3 linked regions of the Astyanax mexicanus genome follow. The protein of the gene in region 1 purifies or fractionates together with the protein of each later gene. This does not show direct contact. Links are inferred from orthologs where the notes say so. Each region holds a gene or a part of one and is shown in the gene's direction. Other genes may lie near its edges.

Region 1 (8,455 bases):
TTAATAAATAATAATAATAATATTTATAATATTTATAATAATAATAATAATAATAAATATATTATTTAAATTTTATGAGGCATAAAATAATAACAAGAAAAAAAAACAAGAAAATCGAGAATCGAATCGAATCGTGACCCTCAAATCGAAAATGAAATCGAATCGAGGATTTAGAGAATCGTGACACCCCTAGTGAACATACACATACACATACACACATACTACACATACATCTTTTACAAAATTTGTTTCAATTGGATTTATTAGGAAGGCAGAGGTGCAACAGATAATCCAGTCCTACCAGCGCTCCCCGGGTACAAGCATGGTGCGAGGGTTCAGTGTGAACTACAAGCGCCATGTCCTGACCATGGATGATCTCAGCACCCTTTATGGGCAGAACTGGCTTAATGACCAGGTAAAGAATGGAAAGTTGTAATTAGGATAGTTAAGTGTAACTCTTATAGTTAATTATTTATTTTCCCTGTTGATCTGTTTATTTCAGGTTATGAACATGTATGGGGACCTTGTAATGGATACAGTTCCTGACAAGGTGAATATGACACTTACATTCTTTGTGGACAAAATACACAAAAACAATATCTTGTGAAAGTAAGCTGTCATTGTATATGATATGATTTAGGTCATTTAATGGGCTGAATGCATATAAAATAAATATTTTTTAATCCATGTTTTCTAGGTTCATTTCTTCAACAGTTTCTTCTATGACAAGCTCAGAACTAAAGGTTATGATGGGGTTAAGCGGTGGACAAAAAATGTAAGATTTTTCCTCTGATTTAAAAGAGATTATTTTTTTTACTGATCCAGTCATTTTTTTTTCATGGTTCTTCATTTGAGACTACACAAAGAAACAGAATGGAATGGAAGTCTTATGCCTTTAGAGCCTTTTGTTGTTTTCGATAATACCAATGGAAGTCTTATACTTGTGTGTATTTGTGTGCGTAATACATTTGGTTTTCTTTACACACTGATTTCAGGTTGATATCTTCAGCAAGGATCTACTCTTGATTCCTATTCATCTGGAAGTGCATTGGTCACTAGTGTCTGTGGACATTAAGCAACGGTTCATCACCTACTTTGATTCCCAGCGAACTCTTAACCGTCGCTGTCCCAAGGTCAGCACCTCTTGTGTGCTTATTTGTTTTCTAATTAGCTTTTGTTAATTTTTTCCCAGCGTAAACTTGCAGGCATGCTTCTAACCAGCTTCTAACCAGTTCTCTTTCCTTATTCTTCTTGTAGCATATTTTTAAGTACCTCCAGGCAGAAGCTATCATAAAACAACAGAGAGATTTTCTCACAGGGTGGAGAGGCTTTTTCAAAATGGTAAGTTATTCAACACCTGACTAATGACCACAAAGTGTTTCTTAAGAAATGTATGGGTCACTGTACATGTTTCTTTGTATGTATTTGTCTCTTATTTTTATAAAGATCAAAATTACATTAGATTTAAAGGGATTCACCGGTATTAACAATTTCAGATATACAGACCTAAAACAGTAAAGATCCCAGGTTGTGTCTATATAGACCATTCCTCCCATACTGGCTTTAAATAAACAGTCAGTCAGTCAGTCTGCAACGAAACTGTTGTATCACCTCTTTGTGATTTTGTTGCTCATTGTAAGCCAGCGTGCTAATCGCTCAGATATGTCTTAAGCTGAAAAGAGCTGCCACACAAATTGCCCAGTGCCGCAACCGAGACAGTTATATATACAGTTTTATGATAAAAAAACAATAATGTTCCATAAGGTATTGTAGTGAATATGCATTTATCTGGCCTTTGCTCACTTTTGTAATTTATTGTTTGTGGTAATCAAGTTAGCTAGCATGTTTTGCATTTTGTTTCAGTAATTGGGTGAATGTTCACCATGCAATATTATTATTTTAATAATTTTACAATTACTGATTTCCCACCTAAATAGAGACTTTTTGTATAGCCAAGCTTCTAGTTTAGCCCCAGCTCACTTCTATTTCACATGACAATGTGAAACATGAATGTGTATTATGACTTTGACCTGCATTGGTTACGTTTTGCTCATCTTGTTTGTTTGTTTTTTATTTGATTGTGCAGTGCTGGCTGATATATAGCCTCAAGTATTGAAAAACTAGACCTGGATTTCTCGCCAAATTTTTTTCTCTCCAACTTTTCAGTTTTCAGTGTTGTTAGAAATTTAGATATTGGGTTTGTAAACTGCTTACATTAGTTATTAGTATATGATGGTTTATGTTCTGAGTTTGCTGTGTTAACAGAGGTCATATCTGTGTTTTAGAATGTAGGCCGACAGAATAATGACAGTGACTGTGGGGCATTCGTTCTTCAGGTAAGTAAAAAAACTAAATCACCATGCCACTTTCTACCATTTGGAAAGGTATGATTTTACTTAATTCATTTATTTTTATTTTTTTCTGAACAAATTTATTTAAAATAGAGTTCCAGTGTATTAAAGAATTGAATTTCATCAACTATATCTAAGATATGTAGAAATATATATATTATACTTTGGTTTCTGTTTTGTACCTGATCTTTTTTCCCCAAATATTTGTCCACTTGGTCTGAGTCTCTTACTCTGTTTTGTTCTAGTACTGCAAGTGTCTGGCATTGGGACAGCTCTTTAGCTTCAGTCAGCAGGACATGCCTAAACTGAGGAGATTAATGTACAAAGAGCTTTGCCACTGCAAGCTCTCACTGTGATACTTATGTCAAAGCAATGCAGCCAGAGGAGGAAGAACAAAACATCTGGAAACTTCCATCTGTGTAAAAAAAAAAAAAAAAAAAACAGGACATTGCTGGACACTGCATTATCAAACCCACTTGTTTGTTTTTGTTTTGTATCAGTGTTACTTTCTTGTGCTTGTGGTGGCCAATGTCTTTTCTAATGGCTGCTTTGTTGAAATGTGGCATTTTAATGGGAGCCATTTTGGACTCTTGCAAGAGGCTTCCAAAGTGTTTTCTATGATTTTGCCTCCGTCTGTAAAGGTGTTACAAATCTTTTTTTTAATTGTGGGGAAGTGTCATGTTACTCAGATGTGCAAGCATAATCATATTTCACTTTTATTTTTCAATAAATCATGCCTTATGAAAATGAATGAGTGAGTGTGGTTAAATAACTGTTGGCAACAAGTATATTTTGTACATTGGAATGTAATAATAATATGCTTAATAATAATACACTATATACATAATACATAATATCATTGCCAGGTTTGATAATGGATATTTTGAGTTTATTTTTAGATTTTGGCAACACGGTGCAATGTATTGCATTTTTTTTTCTCTTGTATTAGGTTCTGGTTGTAATGTAATTATTTACATTGCCAAAAGCAGAAAAAATGTCATATCAGATTGTCAGTCTTTCTTTGAAAAAAAAAAATGATTACACTAGATTATATTAGATTAGATTATACCACAGTTTTTGGCTATTTCAACCACATATTTTGTGTAGTTCCAGTGTAGCAACACATACCATTTACAATGAACTGTAGAGTAACTGGTCAGGTTGAATGTACTTTATAATCTTAGTTCCGATGATTGTATGAAAAGTTGGTTCTTTTCAGTAGCCTGCAAAAATCTTGTATCCCAAAAATGTTAGGAGAGGTTACTTGAGAAAAAAAACCCTTATTAGTTTTATTTCAGTGGTAGAAAAATGTGAAGTAAAGTGGTAAAAGATTTCTTGGGGAAAACAAAGTGACATTAACTTAATTAAACTGAAAACTTCTGCTTTCAAACTGTCAAAAAAGTAAAGAATCATTTTTTCTGTGACTTATTTGTGTATATATATTTTTTGTATTATTTTTCATTATTTTTATCCTCCTTGAAGAGCTCTTGACCAGCAAAGGGTATGATAACCAGCTGGTCCTAAGCTAAATTGTTTTAGCAGGGTAGTTGATCAGTGTAATGTGAATAAAAAAGAGACTGAACATTTTAACAGCAAATTAGGGTATGAGAGTAATAAAAGAAATACATTTAAAAGTTTTTTAAAGAAATAAAGTATATTTGTCTGAATATTTACATTTGTCTACATAGGACATTTGTCTACATATGAGGAAATTCACAGTAAAATACTTCTTATATGGATAGACCAATCTACGCAGTCATATTTTCTATTCTAAAAGCTGATGTACAAAGAAACTGATTTAGAGAACAGACTGTGCCTTGACGTCAAGCCTGGGGCGGGCTGTGCCAGGGCGACGTGACGAATTTAACGTTTTAACCTATGAGGTGTCACGTTGGAAAGCCTTGGTTTTGATTGACGAGACTCTCCTCCAATCACAATTGTTCAGGCCTCGGTGCCTTGGCGTATTTAACACATTTCCGCCGTTGTGCTGTTCTTTGTGATAATGTCGGCTGAACATGAGGATAGGTAAGTGAGGGCTGGGAGAGTAGCGTGGGTGCTAATTTACCCTAATATAAATTTCTATATATATTTATATATTTAAACACGTTATTTGACTCGTTAGATATCTACATTTGGGCAGCGGTGGAGCGAGTTGACCTGGATGAGTGTTAAATTTAGATTAACCGGACTGTGAAGCGAATAAACGGCGGGGCACGGCAGAACGCTGGTTTAAGCTAGCTTAGGTAGATAAAAATGCGAGAATTGTTAGTATTAATGTCGGTAAATGCGTGTATTGTGTTTATTTAGGTCGGATTAGTTCTGTATCGATGTTAATTTGGTGTTTTAGCCCGTTTTCTATCCTTATGTTAAAACGTGCCGGCTCCTGTAACACAACGTGACCTGACCGGTTAGCTCGGTAGCTTAGCTTAGTTTAGCTGAGCGTGTCAGTTAGGTTAGCGGTGGCGGCCTGGGTGCCGGTGTTTTGTCGAATTGGTCTACCCGTTGATATGTGCTTTTTACGACCAGTGCGCATGCGCATTTTAAAGTTTATATAGTTATGATATGACCATGGAAAATACAAAAAAGTGGTTCTAATCACCCATTGTCATTTAACAGAACCCTAAAATATAGAATTTAGACTTTCCAAAATTCATACCGAGACTTTTTTTTTTAGCGAGCAACTTTTTAAATGTGCTTTTTTTTTTCTGGTATTTTTTTATGTTTAAATACACACTTTGGTAGCACGATTTGGTAAGGTAGCACATTTCGACAGAACACCGGCTCGTGGGCCGCACATGGCGCTTCTTCCTCCCTTTCTCTGTTCAGCGCTGTTTTCACTCAACATGTTTAGTACTGTTTTACGCTTTAGTTATTTCGATCTAAACATTTAAAATAAACCGGATTGTAGGGCTTTAGCGCCATAATACACGATTTCTGTGTGTGTTTGAACTAATTTCGATGAGAAGACCGGAGCACATGGCCTGCCGGTTTGGACAATGGAGAATTCCGCTATATGGGATGAGCAGGCCGGAGTCTAGTTTAGCTACAAGCTAAGCCAGGTTTATCGCTCCAGTCACTTCGGATTTGAAGAAATTTGAGATTAATAGTAGCCAGATTAGCTCACTCTTGATCTCTAAACTAGATTATTATAGTTAGATAACCCAGATTATATTGCTCATTCGTCTCTAGCGAGCTGCGTTTCGCAGGTTAGCTATTCGCTGCAGTCAGCTAACGCCTAGCTAGTTAACAAGCTAAAGCTAACATGCTTTACAAAGATCTATGCTTAGCTAAAAAAATCTGAAGTATTCGTAGTCTAAAGTCATGTAAAACAATAGTAGTGCGTGTTGTCTCTTCAGTGTTCCTCTTTAAATGTTATATTAACCCGATTGCCTGTGTAAAATCTTAATGTAGCTCTGTAGCCTAGCTCCTCGTTAGCTAGCTAAGCTAAACTCGTGTGAAACGTGAGGGCAAAGATGGCGCCCTCCAAAGCCTTTTTCACAGAAAACTGCGACGTGTCTGGCGGTGTCCGCTCCCCCTCCATCTTAGCTAAATCTTCTATCCACGTCCTTCTCATTTGATTAACTTTTCTGTTTTAAACCAACGATTACCTTTGTTAAATTCGGTCTTATTTATTGAGGCAGGTGAAAAGTGACTATGAAAATTGGAGCTTTAATTTGAAATCCAAAATCTCAATGTGTCTGAAAGATCAAATTACTCTACTTTCTTCCAATACATGACATTGCATTAATTCTGGTTTGTTCTCCTCCTTTTAGACCTAGAGACAATGGCCCCGAGGGCATGGAGCCAGATGGAGTCATTGAGGTGTGTTGAATATCTTTTTCAATCATCCATCTGTCTAATTACCTGTAATTGTGTTTCTGAAAAGTTCGTTGTTACAGGTTGACTAAAGTACTTCTGCTTATTCCACAGGGCAACTGGAAGGAAGTCGTCGATAGTTTCGATGACATGAACCTCCGTGAGAATCTTCTCAGAGGAATCTATGCCTATGGTTTTGAGAAACCTTCTGCTATTCAGCAGAGGGCTATTCTCCCTTGTATCAAGGGTACGTAGACAATATTTCTGTGTAGAATAGTCAACCTTTTATATACGTATGGTCGATTCACACATGAGTCACCATGTGCTCTTGTGAGTTAAATGCACCAATACTTTTTTTACTGTTGTGCCTCCCTTATCATCTGGGCAAGGAAGTGCCTGCTAGTGGCAGATTCCTATATCTGTTAGGGGAAGATCAAACACAGCCCATATTCATCCCAGTCTACTCACCACTATGAGCAAAAGACTGTTTCATGGTATGGGTACAGATTGCAAGCTGTTCCTACAGTAGATTTCTGCTGATGGAAAGCCTCTCTTTATTTTGCCAGTCTTGGCCTGTCTTAAATTTTGACTTTTATTTTGACAGGATACGATGTCATTGCACAGGCTCAGTCTGGCACAGGGAAGACTGCCACCTTTGCCATTTCCATCCTGCAGCAGATTGACATTGAGATGAAAGCAACACAGGCCATGGTCCTGGCCCCCACCAGAGAACTTGCCCAACAAGTAAGATCCAGTTACATGCGTGAGTAGTTCTGTTCTGTTGTGAGGTGACGCAAATGTTTTAGAATGACCCTTGTCATCTGGGCAAGGCAGTGGTCTGTCAGTGGCACCTAGTCCTATATCTGATAGGGGAAAATTGAAATTACCCATTCATCCCAGTCTACTCAGTACAGTGAGATAAAGACTGTTTCATGCTATGGGTACATATTCAACATGACTCACCGCTATGTTACTCATCATTTACCACCAGTTGTGAGTCATTGAGTTCTTAAGCTGTGAGGTGGGTTACAGCATTACTTGGTTTGCTGACTAAATGGAATTTTTTTTTTTTTTTTCTGTAAACACCAGTTAGGTTCAGATTTGCCTGGCCCTTGTAGATTTCTTTTTTTGACATACCTTTGCTGGTGTCTGTTCATGTTTAGATCCAGAAGGTAGTCCTTGCTCTTGGAGACTACATGGGCGCTACCTGCCACGCCTGCATCGGTGGAACCAATGTCCGTAATGAAGTTCAGAAGTTGCAGGCAGATGTGCCCCACATTGTTGTGGGCACTCCTGGGCGTGTTTTTGACATGCTTAACCGACGGTATCTCTGTAAGCAATTTTTTTTTCTTTATCCTTTTTTTTTTTTTTTTTTTCCTAAATGGTGAGCTCCGTGAGATTGAATGCTGTAATGATGAACCCTTATGCGTGTCAACTGACTCTGTAGTACCCTGTGCTTCCTGGCCGCTCTTCAACGTTCTGTTGGGGGTGCGTTTGGGGCCACAGGTCTCCAGAGGCATGATCAGACCTCATTGACCTGAACGCAGCATTACCCCAGTCTTTTTTTTTTTATTCTTTGTGGGTGGCCCCCACATAGTTTACATTTTATTTAAATCAAAAATTAACTTGCTACGCTGACTAGCTTTTTTTTTTTTTTTTTTTTTGTGCATTCTGTTTATATCTACATTCCTCTTTCAGCTCCCAGACACATCAAGCAGTTTGCACTGGATGAAGCTGACGAGATGTTGAGCCGAGGGTTTAAGGACCAAATCTATGAAATTTTCCAGAAGTTGTCTTCGGACATTCAGGTAAAGCTTTTCCATCCATGCATGTGTACTGACGCGCAATGTGACAATGTTTATTTGTTAAAATGGTTCAGGGCTTGCCAAAGTTCCCTCTTCCCCCCCAGCTCTCTCTGCTGGGAATGGAATCAAGTTCTTTGGTAGAGAAATTACTGTTCTCCACCGTGACTGGGTTACTCTGTCCCTTATCACAACTATATATCAGTAGACAAAAGCACATCTATAAGCAATAAAATGTACTTTGTTATACTGAAGTATTACCATAGTCACTTTGTTTGGGACACATTGCGCTAGTTTTGTTACACTAAATGGGTTGCAGTTAAAGCAGGAACTTTAATATTCTGTTTTCCTACAGGTGATTCTGCTGTCGGCCACCATGCCACAGGAAGTGCTGGATGTCACCTCTAAATTTATGCGCGATCCTGTGAGGATCCTTGTCAAGAAAGAGGAGCTGACCCTGGAGGGTATTCGTCAGTTCTACATTAA
Region 2 (8,455 bases), on another chromosome or scaffold:
TGCTCACCTAAAGGAGAACTCCTCTAACCCTGCAGCAGGAGGAAGATGCACAATCGACCCTTTCTTCAGGCCAGGCTTGGCTCACTTCCACAAACTCAAACTCATGACTCTTGTTATCCTTACATTTCCTCCAGGCTGTCTCTTGCTGGACTTATAGTGAACTCTGATATTTACTAATCTACCGTCAATGTGAGCAGCAGCTGCTGTGCAGGATCTGCCAGATTTGTTGGACTTGTTCAGCTGACGATTGTAATAAGGTTGTAGTGTGCTCTTGGCCTGGGCCATGAGGAGGGTCGGGGGTACGGTGATGGAGAATGGGCCATTTCTTTTCCTGCTAATGTTCTTGTTTGGAATCTATGTCATATGTTATCAGTGTAACTGTTTGGAAATCACCTCTTTCATAAGTGTGAGAAAGTGAAGAACACTTTTTCTTTTTCTTTCACAAAGGTGCCCTCTGGTGGAGAAATAAAAAAAACTACTCAAAATACACCTCACATGAGCTCTGGTCCAGTTATATCAGAATTCACTTACTTTATCAATCAGTAATCCTGACCTCTCCAAATCCCTCTAATTTGACATGTTGGTTTAATAAGGTGTAACTACCAGATAATATAATATATTAAAGGAGACTTGTTATACCTCTTGGTACAAATATCTATATTACACTATATTACACTATATTACAGTCTACATATCTATATTACAGTCTATATATTTATATTACACTATATTACAGTCTACACTCAGCCCGCAGCATTGATAACATTTTTCGGTTGCGGGGCCATTTGATGCTGAGCGATGTTGAGAACTTGACCTAGCACTCAGTTCTGTATCTTTACAACTAAGGCTGTATCTCTGAAAACATTTTGTCCATTGAGTTTTAGAGCTTTGAAATTGACTGTGGGGTGACAGCAGGTAGGCGTTCTCTGCTGCAGTGCTGTTAGCCAATCAGAGGCGATATGTTTGCATGTATGAATATTCATGACCAAGAGCCAAAACCTGTCTTTCTCCAGAGACCTCTAATTCAGTGATCTAAAGCAGGGATAAATAGAAACACTGGCTCACATGGCATCCATTCATACTAGAGACTACAACTAGACATTTTTAAATGAATGAAAAAACGATAGAATGAGACCTTTAAGTCCTGGATGTGTCAGCATTTTTTGCAGCTAAATTAGAATATAATAGGATACAGTGAGAAATGGGGCTCTTATCTATATAGAAACCCTTTGCCTTGGAGTCTATAAAGGCTTAAAGCTCTGCCAAAAACCTGGGTGTCACTTTTGACAGCTTTAATACCCACAACGTCTGCAAAACAGCATTCTTCCACCTCAGTAATATATCCAAGGTCTGCAGGATTGACTCTCATGGCTGGATAACTGTAATGTGCTTTTTCTGGCCTGCCAAAGATCTCCGTTTCCAGCTTGCAGTGGTTGGGAAATGCTGCGGCGAGGATTCTGACCTGCACAAAAATGAGGGCTCATATTTCACCTGTCTTTAAAACAGCTGCTCTTTTCCCATCACAGCCGTTCAGGGGCTGTATTCTTGATGATCTGAAGACTCTTGATGATTGTGATTGTTGCACATTTAAAGCAATAAAAATAACAGCTTAAAATAATTTAATAATCCACTTATAATATAGTAGTGTAAAAGAAGTGTTTGCCCTCTTCATGATTTCTTATTTTATTGCATGTGTGTCACTCTTAAATGTTTCAGATCAGTAAACAACTGTAAATATAAGTAAATCACAATACAAGTAAACAATTTTTTTTATTATTATTAAGTGAGAAACAAATCCAAACCTACATGGCCCTGTATGAAAAAGTGTTTTCCCCCTAAACCTAATAACTGGATTGGCAGCTCTTAGCAGCAACAATTGCAATTAAGCGCTTGCAGTACCTTGCAATGAGTCTTTCACGTCTCTGTGGACAATTTTTGGTCCACTTTTCTACACAAAATTACTGTAATTATGCCACATTGGAGGATTTTCCAGAATAAACCACCTTTTTAAGGTCATGCCACAACATCTCAATACTGTTCAGGTCAGGACTTTGACTAGGCCACTCCAAAGTCTTCACCAGACCATCACACTACCACCACCATGTTTTACTGCTGGTATGATTTTTTTTTATGTTTCTTAAATGTTATTTTAAGAAACCAGATGTCAAGGGACACACCTTCCAAAAAGTTAAACTTTTGTCTCATCAGTCCAAAGAGTATTTTTTCCAAAAAGGGGATCATCAAGATGTTTTCTGGCAAAATTGAGATGAGCCTTAATTTTTCTTTTCAGCAGCGGTTGTTGTCTTGGCATTCAGGCCATTTTAGAGTCATGAATGTTGACCTTAACTGAGGAAAATGAGTCCTGCAGTTCTTTGGATGTGGTTATGGGGTATTTTGCGACCTCCTAAATGAGTTGTCGCTGAGACCATTGGTAAACCTCAAGTACATTCACACCAGATCCTTTACACCATTGCTAATTTTTAAATATTCATAATAACTTAAACATAATGTGTGTAATGTGAACAAATCTGTCCCTGAAACGCCTCACATGCCGCCTTTTTCACCAACAACAAAAAAACACATATTTGAGAGACGACCTGTAGCTTTCTAAAGGGAAATAAATGCGTTAGCAGCATATGTGGAGCTTCTTTTGCTGGAGTGGAGAGCAAACGGCTGGTCTGAAGTTTATGCTCAGCTTTGCAGCTATAGCATGTAGCCCATGCATAAAAGCAAAAAGACTTATGAATTCTGATTGATTCGACCGTTTACATTCATGTCGCATGTACATGGATCAGGTACGTATCTGATGTAGGACCATATATGGTTTTGGCTCAGATCTGATTCGAAAAAAAAAATGGATTTGGCACATTCACACAGGCATGAAAAAATATATGAGTAACTTCAGCCTGGTAATGTGAACATAGCTTTAATTATCTTACGCCCACATCTTAGTAAGTCGTGGCAATTACTTAATTATCTCATTCCCATGCACTAGAATATCAATCCCACGCCTTAATAAGTTGTGGCCATGCATTCATTTTTAACATGTTCTCACTTTAGGGGCTTCATAGGGACCATGCAATAAAATGTACATTATACAGTGTGTGACCTGATTCTGAGTATAAGGACTGGAGTCTAATGGAGAATGAATGTAGCCTTTGCTTAGTTTTACTGAATTGTTTAAAGTACTGATCTTCAAAACACGTGCTAACGTGTTGTATGCGTACATATGACATACAGATCATGCAGTACGTGCCCGGCCGGCTGCGTCACGCGCACAGCGTTCACTCACAGCGTGGCTCACGCACAGACAGACGTACAGCGCACGGGAAGCGAGCTGCTGGAACCGGCTCAGTGGGAGAAACCAAGTTCTCGAAAAAAGGGGGGAGACATAACTAGAACAGCATTTGGACAGGTTTTACACCAGTTTGACTCAAAATAAGCAGGTATGCTCATGCGCAGCAATGTGTTTATTTTATAAAATAAATTAAAACATGTACGAAGTTGTCTAAATGTATTTAAAGGGTTATAATTTACGCCCTATATCAGTGTTGAGCGGGCTGGGCTCACATGGCCTGTTCCTTTTCTCTGCGCAGGGGGGTTCGCGCCGGCGGCACCGCACATGGTCCTGCGAGGAAAAACGCTGGATTACGGTTTTTAACACCCGCGAATCGCGCTAATCGCCCGGTATTGTCCACAGCGAAGCCTCGATGAGAGATACGGAGGATATGGACGCAGAGCTGGAGTTTGATGAAGGCGAGGAGCCTTCGTTCAGCGACCCGGAGGACTTCGAGGATGATATCAGTGATTCGGGTAGGTGGCTGGGAGAGCGGCCGGCCCGGCGAGGCCCGCCTTCGGCCGCGGATTTCGCTGATACCGCGGTCATGCGGATTTCGGTAGCTAGGCTTATATATAATATATTTCATTAGCGTTATATAATTATTTGGGTTGTGATCATAAGCTGTGTGGTTTGCTGTTGAAGTAGTGATTCGGGAGCAGCAGCTGGATGCAGCAGGCATGATCATTCAGTGCCCGTTAGCTTAGCTTAGCTAACGTTAGGTTAGTTAGTCGGTTGATTAGGCCATAGCTTAGCTTAGTTACGCTATCAAATACAAAATCTAGCGTAATTAAGCTAAGCTAACAGCGGCTACCTGGATAAACAGGCTCACATAAACTACGTTATTTAGCTAACATAAGCAATTCTGTTAGTGTCTGCGAAAGCCCAATTTATTATTTAATTTTTAGCTGAATAAATAAGTTAAGTTAGCTATTTAATACGCCATAGCAGCATCTGAACCGGTGTTCTGTCGACTTCTGCTACCCATCAGTACCTGCTTTCGAAAGGCACTGCGCATGCGCCAACATACATTTTTTCATGCTCTTTTTTTTATAATAATTCTTTTTCTGTGTTTTTTGTTCGTTTATCAACCTTACATACATTACATACAACTGTAAATGACAATTTAATAATGTTAGTAATATGTTATTACCGTTATAATGTAATATAATATTGTATACAATATGTATTATTAATAAAATGCAAAAGCAGATTCGAATAACCTCTTATTTCCATAACTTCTCCCTGAGACTGTGCTTTATTGTGTCCAAGAAAAGCACATAGACTTTTACTGGAAATATTCTAGGTTTTAATATTGTACTTTTTGTGTATTTTAACCTTTTAAATATGCACCAGAGACGCACAGATTGACAAGGTAGCAGAACTCGACAGAACACCGTACAACATGCTAGCTAGCTTAGCTTAACGTTAGCTGTCTGGCTAACAAGCGTGGACAAAGCTACTATCCGTCTATGCTAAGCTAAAGTATTCTAAGCTATGCTAAGCTAATGAATGAGGCGTGCCTGACAGTTGGGTCACAATGTAACTTAAGTAAATAACTTTATTTTATGTGCTAATTAAGCAATCTATATGCCTTCCTCACGAACAACATGTATCCTTAATTATTAATAAATAAATACACGATAACCAAATTGATTGTTTCTCACTAAATTAAATAATGTCAAACCCACTATTTTAACATTTAGCTACTAGGATTGTGCAGTACATGTATTGTTAGCTAGTTATATATGTTTTAGTTATATTATGGCATGGTGCTGTCTCCAGGCAACAATACATTTCACATTTGGTGACTTTCCCTGTAAATTTATTTACTTAAAAATGTATAGCTATATGTCCTGCACATGTCTGCAATACATTTATCCTACATTTCTTATTTAAAAAATACAAAAAGTGTTTCCTTGCTATATAATGTGTGTTAGATTTATATTTTAAATACATTTAGATTGTAAGTCTTTAAATTACAGGTGAGCATTATGGCTCTAAAATAATATTACAATATTTCATGGTATTTTCACAATAACGATACTTTTGGCGATGTGACAAAACACTGAATATACAATAATATTTTGTATCACATTTGACACAACTGATATATCTAACCTCTAAATGGAAGTGATCTGTCATGTCATTTGTTAGTTTGCAAAGCTGCTAGGATATGTATATTTATGAAATTTTGATATATAATAATTATTAAATTTAACTAGGCCTGTCACAATTTTTTATATGGACATGACCTCAATATTTTCCACTGTGAAATTAGTCTGCATTGGCCTTGTTTATGAGCAGTGTTTTAGATGTGTCATTCTTAAATAATTTTGGATTCTGATTTTTAAATATTTTTAATTCAAGTTCAAGAATTAATTGTAAATGCATTATTATACTATTTTATTATCATAATATCACTGTCATTAAATTGTTTTAAAAGGAGAGTGTATTTTTATTGCAATTATTTCTTTGTTTTAGACCTAAATATATGTAACAGTGTTACACTGCTCCTTAAAGGGCTACACTTGCTCACTTAAAACATCTTAAATAAGACCAGCCTCAAAGACATGTTATCAGTGGTAATGTTATCTAATTGAGCAGCTGAATGTAACGGTTTGCTTGTAATTGTAGTTGGCAGTTTCTACAGTAGTTCTTGTAAGGGTTTTTAAGTCCTGCTCCTGAAGCCCTGCCAAGTGTATTATTGAATAGAACATCCATTATAATCTAGAGAAAGGCTTCTTAGTAGGGCTTTTGTTTCAGGTGTAACAAAAACAAAACTGTATTCCAAAAGAGAATGGTGCAAAAATGGTTGTTTTAGAAATGCCAAAGAGTTACTAGAGGTGGAAAAATAAGTTTTATTGTAGCTTTATATTTTAATATATATATTTTTTGTTGTATCCACAATACTTTAGACATATCAAGGACATCAGTAATTAAAGAATACCTAATTTTACATTTTATAAAAAAAAGCATAATTAGACCTGTTTAATTGGACGAGATATTTTGAATGAATCACATGTATCGAAATATTTGTTGTGTGTTTTCCAGTTTTAAGTTGTATTTTTTTAAAAACGTTTTTGCTAATTTATATAGAGGGATGTATGTATGTATACATACATACACACACACACACACCTTAACAGCTTAGATATTCTTAGAATTCCCTCTATATAAATTAGCAAAAACGTTTTTTAAAAATACAATTTAAAACTGGAAAACACACAACAAATATTTCGATACATGTGATTCATTCAAAATATCTCGTCCAATTAAACAGGTCTAATTATGCTTTTTTTTAATAAAATGTAAAATTAGGTATTCTTTAATTACTGATGTCCTTGATATGTCTAAAGTATTGTGGATACAACAAAAAATATATATATTAAAATATAAAGCTACAATAAAACTTATTTTTCCACCTCTAGTAACTCTTTGGCATTTCTAAAACAACCATTTTTTATATACACACACACACACACACACACACACTCATTACTATTTGTTTTACTCTCCTAGTTGATACACAGGTTGCATAATTAATATATGTTTATTTTTTTCAATTATCATTCAGCCCCAGTGAATTTGTCTTTGGAAATTGTTATGTAATGTTTTTACCATGTGTTCAGAAGAACTTGAGAGTTTGTTTCCCACCAAATGTAGAATTAAAAAATAAATTCTTAAAAAATGCTTCTATATGGATTAATTAAATGACTATCAAAAAATCAATTTGTCGCACCTTTCAAGAGTGTATGTTTCTGTTGAATTTTCACTTTATACTATTCTTGGCCTTTGCAGAGCTGCTGGGAGACATCCTCAGGGAGAAACCTCAGGAGGCTGATGGTATCGACTCGGTCATTGTCGTTGACAATGTTCCTCAAGTAGGACAAGACCGTCTGGAGAAACTCAAGAATGTCATCCACAAGATCTTCTCAAAATTTGGCAAAATCACCAACGAGTTCTACCCAGAAGCAGACGGCAAGACCAAGGGGTGAGTGCAGGTTTGACTGCCTGTGTTGTGAAAGTAGGTTAAGTTGAATTTGTCTAATAATGGATGAATCTCTTGCGTCTGCTCTCTGCTGTTCAGGTACATTTTCCTTGAGTATTCTGTTCCAAGTCACGCACACGAAGCTGTGAAGAACGCTGACGGCTACAAATTGGATAAGCAGCATACTTTCCGTGTCAACCTGTTCACTGACTTTGACAAGTATGTTCTGCTCAATTAAGCATTTTTAAAATGTTTTTTGCCTATTTCTGAAACACTATATTAATTTAAAATGCGTGTTTAATTTATCATTTCTAGGTACATGTCAATCAGTGATGAATGGGAACCTCCTGAGAGACAACCCTTCAAAGATTTTGTGAGTAATACAGACTTTTAATAGCACAACACATTACTGTGATAGATTTTTAGTTTATCTAAAGCCTGATAATGTTTGTCCAGAAGTCCACTCATCTTTTGACTTTTACCTTTCAAGAAACATGACACTTAAACCCATTGTCTTTGTCAAGCAAAGCTTTAAGGAGACTTATATCATTTGCATCACATGAGGTGGATTGAAATTGTAGATCCACGCTCCAGCTCCACCCAAAGAGTAATTGTTATACAAGATAAAATAAGAATAAAATAAAGAATAAAATGTATAACAAGATAGACATATATGTACAAATGTACTAAAGAAGGAGCGGCAACTCGAAATCCAGAGAGCAAAGGCATAAGGCACAGTTGCTGTAGCAGCATGGATGAGCATGAATGAAGAGCAGCAGTATGTTGAAGTGTGACAGTGCGGAGAAAGTGTCAGCAAAAGCATTGTATCTCCAAAAAGTGTAAATTTACAGGAGAACGTATCCACTATCATTTGAAGTTATTATAAGAAGTGTTTGTTTTAAATCATTTTGGGAATATAAAAACTACGTGAAGATGAGAATGGCAGTGGCCATGTTTACCACGCTTGTGCTAGAAAAAGATGGGATGTGACCTCAGTCTTAACCTGTCCCTGCAGCACATACACTAGTAAGCAAAAACAAAGTGATGGTATGAGCACACACAGCTGGAGTGAATAAATAAATAAGATAAATCCAGGGTTTGCATAATGTTGACTATTAATATTAATA
Region 3 (8,455 bases), on another chromosome or scaffold:
CTGTCCCAATAGTTTAAGATATTATATCATTATTTTAGGTACATCTTAATTTAGAGATGTTTTCCATTAATTTTAAGATACTCTCACATTATTCTGAGGGGTTTTCTCGTTATTTTAGGATACTAGTTCATTGTTTTGAGATGTAATCTCATTATTCTAAGATGCTATCTCATTATGTTGCGATACTATCACATTTTGAGATGTTATCTTTTATTTTGAGATGCCATTTAATTTTGAGATACCTAATATATCATCAATTTGGTCATTTCATTATTTTGAGAAGTTGTCTCATTATTTTTAGATGTTACCTTATTAAGTTGAGTCATTATTCTGAAGTCAGTAAAAACTTTAATTTGTTCAAAATAACAACTTAATATCTCAAAATAATGAGATAGCAGTTTATGTAATAATGAGAAAAAAACATCTACAATATTTTAGTTAATGCATTCAGCTACCTAAGTTTCACTTATTGCTAAAAAAAAAAAAAGAGGTGCAATAGCACACACATGTCTAGTCCCTGTAGAGAAGTATTGCCAATAGAAATGGATTCTCTGGAAAAGATAAGCATGAACCAATTGGTGCCATGCCTAATGCCTGACATGGGCTACAGGTGGAGTAGAAGTGGGGCAGTGGAACTGTGTTCACTGGGCTGATGGCATCCTCTTGGTTTCAGATGAAACAATGTTTCTAATACTTTCAACAAAAGTAAAACAGACATTGAAATGCTTAAATTCACAGATCCTTTTTTTTTTGGGTGGACATAAAACAATGTAAAGTTTGTAGAACATTTTTTGGGTATTAATAAGCATTGTACCTAAGCAAAAGTAAACATACATTGTGATTTAAAAGGACAATAAGACAGTACTATACTGGTGCTGATGGAATAAAATCTCCAAATTTGGCCACTTTACAGGAGAAAGAAAAATATTCCTTTAAACTTTAAATCACAAAAGAGAGAACAGGTTTCATTTCCAGACCAAAAACGATATCCTACTTTAAATTCATTAATAATATGTAATTGCAATTAAATATTATTTATTGCTCAAACATGGATTCAAATTTCTATTAAAAATCAAATTAAACTGCTCTGATCTAAACACACTCTGATCACATGAGGCCGAGCATTGTCCTGCACCAGGATGAATTTGGGGCCAACAGTCAGACAGTGGCTCTATGGATTTCATATTGGTACCCAACAGTAGGATTGTACAACCCTCCTTGTGCAATCCAAAGGAGCAGATACTGGTCCTGCTGCTGGGTTAGTGACCTTTTTTAAAGAGAGTATTTTAGGATTTACAAGTGATATTTATAATTGAGGAGAATATATTTAGATATCAGTAGTGGCTATGTTTTTACTTGGGGTGCCAAATATCTGAATATCCGTTTTCTGGCTTGTGAATCATGTCCTGCAACCCCACACTCCTGCACTACTCCTGCTGTTCTAATTCTGGTTCAGTTGGCCAACCTGAGTCCCTGAGTACTGGAGTAAGGTCACTCCTGCAGCATATCACTACCCACAACAGCTGACCGAGAGAGTGCTCAGTTTGCACCCAGATAGTAGTCTGAATTACATAAGCCACAAAGCAGTGCTATTAGTGACATAACTGAAGGACACTTTTATTTATGCATATTATCCAGAAAGTTTAAAGTGGTAAAAAAAAATCCCAGACAAACATTAACCTTAGTGATGGTACTTTCAATGTAGAGTCAGAATCAGAATACTGTGTAGGCCAGGACTAGGTCTACATTTTTGTATAAAACACTGACTCATTGACTAATTGTCCTAAAGATGACAACGACCACTTATCCAACATTCCGTCTGACACCAAAGGTTAAATTGGGAATTTTAAATTGGGCATTGTGACCTCTTCAGGTTGGTATAAGCTCTGAGTATGTTTTACATGTGTTTGTCTTTGAGCATATGATTACAGCCAACCTCATTCTCATGTTAGTCCAATTTAGGCCTCATGTGCAGTGAATAACCCAGATGGGGCCCATGTTTAACACCTCCTGGTCTCATTACAGACTTGATGGGGTCCATCACTGACATTCATATGTGGAACCCATGGACAAACCTTTTTGATTTCCAGTTGGGCTACCCATAAAGGCCTTATTACCTGGGACCCAGGGGTTTCAGAAGCATTTTTAATGGGGGGTGGGGATGTATGGTCTTTGGATCCTTCCCCATAAAGTGCTTATGAATTAGATGCCATTTTCTGCATTCTGGTGTATTCTTAACAGGTTGTTCAACACCTAATTTTACTTACAAAAGTGACTTAAGTAAATAACTATTTCAGGGTCCGACACTATTCCCTTGTTAGTTTATTCCCTTGTTTTTATTATATTTAAAGCACATCCTATTTTTCTACCTAAAACATCCTAAAATACCTAAAATACAATTTTATTTTTTACATTATGTTGTTAGCATATATGAGGCCCTGGCAACTAAACTAACATAACTGAGAGGTAGATTTATTTGTAAAACATGCTATATCTGCTTGTACTGTAGTAAACATTTTTTTCTCTCTAAAACACCCCAAAATACAATTTCGTATATTTTTATATAATCAACCACAAAATCTGATCAATTTCTTTACCTGGTCGACGTTTTTATCAAGAGCTCCCATCTGAATGCTAGGTCTCTCTCTCTCTGCTCCCCGCTGCTCTCAACGCAGTTCCTAGCCCCGCCCACTACTTAGGCTTAACAGAAGTTAGTGAATTAAAATGTTAAAGCACAAATAAACTGTCGCACAAATAAAAAATAACCCTTTTTTACATCATATTTTTTATGAATGCTTATATTTCGAAAAAGACACTGTGGTAAATGTCCAGTGATGGAAACCTGTAGGTTACAGCTCTCGGTCAACGATTCTGTCCAGCCGGTGACGCAGGCGGGGGGACACCCTCGTGCTATCAGTGCCCCACATATGGGAGGAGAAGTTGCAGCACAGGGCTCCTCTAAACCTATCGACTTCCAGCCATGGGCACACTGAGTGCAGAAGTCGCTCATATTAAAATAGACATTTTTTAGATTGCTGAATGAGAAACTAGGCTACTTGTTATGTTTATAATCTAGACAGCTTTAAAGCTCTGGACTTTATGAGCCACATCCCCACAGCAGTCAGAGAGGCAGAGTCCAATAGAGGCGGAGGATACAGGATCCCCGGAGCCAATCCCAGCGCTCCTTACTGCTCTCTCGGTCTGTAACCTGTCCGGTCTGCAGCGCTACAGATCATTTATAAAAGCTAAAACATTCCTCTGAAGATGTGTCTGTGGATTTGCTACACTGACTCCGACTCAAACCCCAGTTTCTCCTTCATCTAACGGCAGGTGGGTGACAGAGCGGGAGCTCTGGGCCGGGCTGCTGTGAGGGTTTACAGCCTGTTTAACTGGTGATGTCATCCCAAATATGCTAAGCTAACGTCAGCTAGTTAGCCTAGCTTAGCTTTCTTCTCTTAACTTTGTAAAGTATTCCCCTAACTAGCTACTAACTATTCATGCCTTATATGCAGCCCTTAGCAAGAGTAGTTAGGCCCGTTTTATTTAAGAATATGTAGTTATAATTGTTTGTATATATCAGTGCATGCACACCTCTGTGTTGCAAAACAGTTAGCCCGCTAGCTAGCAGGTTAATGTCAGTTTGATAACTAGCTCTTCAAGTTACCCAACATTAGCTAAGTTTGTAACATAAACAGCTCTGTTCAAAGCTATAGCTAAAGCTAACACAACAGTGTTGTGTGACAAGTCCTGTAGCTACTTTTGGAGGAACATTTTGACTCTGAAATCCACAGCCTACATGTCAAGAGACACTCTTAACTCATAAAAAAAAACATTTTTTTATTCACAATATTCTTCCTTAACTTGAGAAGATGAGGGATTTGTTTTGTTGCTGAAGCTATAATTATGTGTGCAAAAATTACTGATGTATTATGTCTGTGCTCTACAGACATTATGTATATATGTGGCGCCATAGATATGATTGCATGGAGCATTATTCACTGTCTCACCACCGTTCTGACACATCCACACAAACCACTTCATACAACTACTCAAATGCCTTGTAGATTTGTAGAAATGTGAAGCGTTAAATTTGATCCATACAGGTAATCTAGTGAATCAATTTGCCAGTTTGAATGGAATTGCCCTGAAGATTAATCTCCCGAAATTGAAATGATCGGAAAAATAAAGTAAAAAAACAAAACAAAAAACTAACAAAAACATTACACATTACTTGAAAATTTGTAAAATTGTACTGGTACTGTTTTTAGCAGAGTAATGGAAAAAATATAAATATTTTTGTTGGTGTATTTACAGATGAAATACTTAGAAACATAGGTAAAGTTTATTAACAAAGTTTACTATGCACTAGGGGTGTCACGATCTCGATATTTTATCGAAATCGAATCGAAATGAGGTCACGATCTCGAGTATCGAAGTCAAAAAGAGGATCGACGATCCCTCCCGCGCGCGCTACGCAAATAGCGCAGCGCGCTACGCAAATGGCGCGGCACCAACACAGCGCATCCTATTCATTTAAATAGAGATAGCCACTGCATAAGCGCAGTCGGCGGGAGTGTGATCACTGTTTTTATCTGTCCAACGGGGGAGGGGGGGGGCGGGGGTTGGGCGCGCAGGTTTTGTATCTGTATCTAACGGAGGGGTGGGTGCGCGCAGGTGAGAGCGTGTGAACTCGCTGAAATGCGTGTGTCAGTGTGACTTGAGAACACTGACTATAGATCACAGTGAGGTGGATTAAAAATCTTAAACTTATAATTGACTACACCTGTTGCTTTCCATTGAATTAAAAAAACATCTTTCTCTCAGATAAAGTAAACACAAGCGTGTTTCTGACTAAAATAAAAGCTTTTCAGGAGAGATATAAGTTATGTGTAAATATTTATAAGACAATACCCACATCACTTATCTAACCAGCCTGTACTGATTTCTGCCCCCCAATAATGCTTTCAATAACCTCTTGTAACCCCTGGGAGCCAGGGGTTACACTCTAATAGCCTTTAATAGTCTTCAGTAGCCTTTAAAAGACTTACCTGGCGGCGTGGTGTGTCCACTAAACTCCGTAGTTATAAACATCCTGAGGTTAGCAGCGCGCTAACTGACCTGTTTATAATGTATTCCGAGCAGTGCCTCCGTGTCGGCTGTTCTAACCTGCTGCTGTTAGCTGCTTGGGCTGAAAGATGAACTGTAGTGAGCTGTATTATCCGGTTAGTGGGGTTAAAACCTTTATTTGTTTACAGAAACAGTAAAAACGGACTGGCTGAGCTCTGTAGCCCGTGGCTGGGCTGTACTGAAGTAGTGACTGAGTGAAAAGAGCGGGGCTTGTGCTGCTGCTGCTAGTGGTTGGATGAAGAACTGCAGCTTCATGTAATGAGCAGTTTCACCAGCCATCCACACACAGCTCTGATAAACTGCTTATTTTAATAGTGCACACTGTTGCTACCAAAAAAAGTCACTAGATGGCATTACCATATATATCTTAATAAATAATAATAATAATATTTATAATATTTATAATAATAATAATAATAATAATAAATATATTATTTAAATTTTATGAGGCATAAAATAATAACAAGAAAAAAAAACAAGAAAATCGAGAATCGAATCGAATCGTGACCCTCAAATCGAAAATGAAATCGAATCGAGGATTTAGAGAATCGTGACACCCCTACTATGCACAAAATGACAAACCCACAACACATTATTCTAACCCATAAAACATAAAAAAAAACTTTGTGAACAATTCTTGGAAAATACAGCATGCATCTTTTTAACTTGTGAATTAATCTGATGATTGTTATTTTCTGCACAGGTACCGTTTACAATTATGGAGGCTTAAAAAGATTAGTGTTGGGGGGAAGGAGTCTTTCCCCTCAAACTGGATGGACTGTTTTGATGGACTTTTTGGGTGGTTGAAGAGTTTGTTGCCTTTTGCACAATGATCTAAACTAGACTACAAGTGAAACAAGTATTTTTGAATAACTGAGAATATATTTATAAAACTTTTGTACATAAAAAATAGCCAAATATTTATCCTTTTTTGATGCCATTGATTGTTTTTTTTCTGCACTGGGTAGTGTGGGTTTTTGTTAATATGGTGGACTGAGGTGAGGTGGATATTCACCCTAGGGTTGCTAGGGTGCAGTGGAACCTCAACATATGCACAATTCTAGCACCCTGGGTTTTGGGGTCAGAGAGTGGCTTTTCATTTTGTGCTTCAAGTGTTTTTTCTTTGCTGATTTATTTTATTTTCTGCTTATCAAAGGAGTTGTGTAAAGGGGCTGAGGCTTTGCTGGTTGTTTTGGGGCTTATTCTGTTATAGGCTGAAACAGGTCTAGTTTACTCTGTTGGGGGAAAGGGGTATTACATTTTGCTGTTTTAGGAGGAGTGTAAGATGAGTGTGTTGACCCCGGAATGTACTTCAAAATGCCGCTCTCCACGCCATGCGGAGGAGATTGTGGCTGCTTTGACCAGTGGCTCAGAAGGCCAACTGAAGGCCTTCCTCTCAGCTTACTGCCACAATGCTGCCACTCTGCGAGATGAATTTGGCCGCACCGCTCTTCACCTTGCCGCCTCACTGGGCAAACGTGACCTCTTGGAGTGGCTTCTGGACAGCAAGAGTGCTGACCTGCTGGTCAAGGACAAGGAGTCAGGCTGGACAGCTTTGCACCGGAGTGCCTTCTATGGCCAGATCCATTGCCTCATGGCACTTGTTAAGGTGTGTTTCGTTTTATTTATTTTATTTATACTTGCCGTTTTGTTTTGTGCACTTTTATTATTTCTAAATCATTAATAGGGATGTAACAGTTGCTAAGTTTTAATACTGATCTACTCATCGTTATCTGCTTTCATGCTGATGTGTATTTTTCTTTTTTTTTATGATTCTGGTAATATCATATTTTATTTAGTAAAAAAAAATAGAAAGCCTATTTATAGTTCTCTATAGTTAGTTATAGTTCATTATTTATTTTTGTTTGGTAGATTACGTGACTGACTGCAAATGTAGTCAAACAATAACTTAATTTATTTTATTGGTTCATGTTGTGTCTTTGGGTTGCAGCGTGGTGGTGCAGTGTCTACTCTGGATAAGGAAGGCTTGTCTGTTCTCGACATAACTATGAAGGACCGCCCTGCACTTGTCGTTTTCCAGAGCTCTGGTAATTAATCCCATTCACATTTAAATCTGTTTACTAATATAAGAAATTAAATGCTAAATAAAGATATGTTGCATACTCACAATCTGATGTTGTGTTTGTAGCATAAAACATATTTAAATTTTTAAATTAAAATTCTTTACTTTTTTTTTTTCTTCACCTGTTAGATCCAACTGAAGTGTATACGTGGGGCAACAACGCCAACTTTAGCCTTGGGCATGGAAACCAAGAGACTAGGCACCATCCTGAGATTGTGGATTTGTTTGCCAGAACTGGAGTTTACGTTAAGCAGGTACTCTTGGTAGAATGTTTGTAATTGGTTGTTTTAGATGCTACTTTAATTTGTGGTAAAACAAGGGTTAAATAAGGGTCAAAACATAGTCAATAAATTCAATAAATTATCTTGGATATTGCAGTAAGTTTTCTTTCCTTGTACCTTTGTACTAAGAGAGGCACTTGTTTTCCTGGACCAGGACAGATAACTGGTAATTCCTACTTGGGATCCAGAGTGCCTGGCAAAGGCATAATTAGGAGTTGCACATAATGTGAATTTAGGTACACAATCTTCCTCAGCAGCACCATGCTTTTGTTAAACTTCTTCTGATAAATATATTATATTTAGAATTTTACACTACACTGAACTAATCAGTGAGCATCTAAACTAATCTTAGTAGCAAGTGCTTATGTAATTTTTGAGCAGTCCAAGTTAATTATCTCTCAATTCTGTCATCTGGAGGGCTCATTTGCATGTATATTCTCTGGTAGACAGTTAAACAATGTGTGTCTATGTGCAGTGGGGTAAGCTGATATGGAAATGCTGCTTAATCTCATTGTAGACCTTTCACTAGGGTTTTAAGCATTTCTGAAAATGCAGGCTGTGTGTAATCTCCTATGAGTTAGTGAGTGAAAGAATGGGAGAATGTAGAAGGTAAGGTTACATGTAGCAGGGTAGTAGTGATCTGCATAGCCTGGCCCCTGACAGCATGTTCTTTTCTTGTGCACTTTTATATTTGATGCCTTATTTGTGAAGGTAAGAGTCTGTTCCATTGACTAACAATTAAATAAAAAAAGTAAGTCTCAACAATAATCTCTCAATGCAACCATTAAGTGGTGTGCGGTTTTCTAATATAGATAATAGGCATTATTGAATGATATCACCTAACTATTAATCACACAAGGATGGCAGTTTTACTTCAATCTGTATAGGTTACCCAGGCATGAAATAACTGAAATAATGCTTCACTTGATTGAAAGGTTATACTCCTTAACCATCATTCTCCTCA

What was found.
Region 2: the proteins of eif4a1a (region 1) and eif3ba purify together in Homo sapiens (affinity purification with mass spectrometry; 4 studies listed by BioGRID and IntAct, counting the BioPlex papers as one, with this or other methods). This does not show direct contact. The link is inferred for Astyanax mexicanus from reciprocal best matches to the Homo sapiens genes EIF4A1 and EIF3B.
Region 3: the proteins of eif4a1a (region 1) and ibtk purify together in Homo sapiens (co-immunoprecipitation; 4 studies listed by BioGRID and IntAct, counting the BioPlex papers as one, with this or other methods). This does not show direct contact. The link is inferred for Astyanax mexicanus from reciprocal best matches to the Homo sapiens genes EIF4A1 and IBTK.

Annotation. Positions count from the first base shown.
Region 1 is NC_064415.1:26,206,076-26,214,530, reverse strand, and holds the start of eif4a1a (eukaryotic translation initiation factor 4A1A), read left to right. Parts: upstream 1-4,283; 5' UTR 4,284-4,353; coding exon 4,354-4,376; intron 4,377-6,124; coding exon 6,125-6,173; intron 6,174-6,281; coding exon 6,282-6,414; intron 6,415-6,771; coding exon 6,772-6,911; intron 6,912-7,330; coding exon 7,331-7,499; intron 7,500-7,572; exon of another isoform or gene 7,573-7,712; intron 7,713-7,865; coding exon 7,866-7,975; intron 7,976-8,324; coding exon 8,325-8,455. Other genes in the region: senp3b (sentrin-specific protease 3b), read left to right, coding at 268-415, 503-550, 698-775, 996-1,133, 1,258-1,341, 2,286-2,336, 2,597-2,707. UniProt on the Homo sapiens protein: ATP-dependent RNA helicase which is a subunit of the eIF4F complex involved in cap recognition and is required for mRNA binding to ribosome.
Region 2 is NC_064410.1:55,936,482-55,944,936, forward strand, and holds the start of eif3ba (eukaryotic translation initiation factor 3, subunit Ba), read left to right. Parts: upstream 1-3,422; 5' UTR 3,423-3,446; intron 3,447-3,596; 5' UTR 3,597-3,710; coding exon 3,711-3,813; intron 3,814-7,138; coding exon 7,139-7,331; intron 7,332-7,427; coding exon 7,428-7,547; intron 7,548-7,643; coding exon 7,644-7,701; intron 7,702-8,455.
Region 3 is NC_064413.1:27,037,350-27,045,804, forward strand, and holds the start of ibtk (inhibitor of Bruton tyrosine kinase), read left to right. Parts: upstream 1-2,947; 5' UTR 2,948-3,330; intron 3,331-5,830; 5' UTR 5,831-6,412; coding exon 6,413-6,736; intron 6,737-7,078; coding exon 7,079-7,175; intron 7,176-7,339; coding exon 7,340-7,464; intron 7,465-8,455. UniProt on the Homo sapiens protein: Acts as an inhibitor of BTK tyrosine kinase activity, thereby playing a role in B-cell development. Down-regulates BTK kinase activity, leading to interference with BTK-mediated calcium mobilization and NF-kappa-B-driven transcription.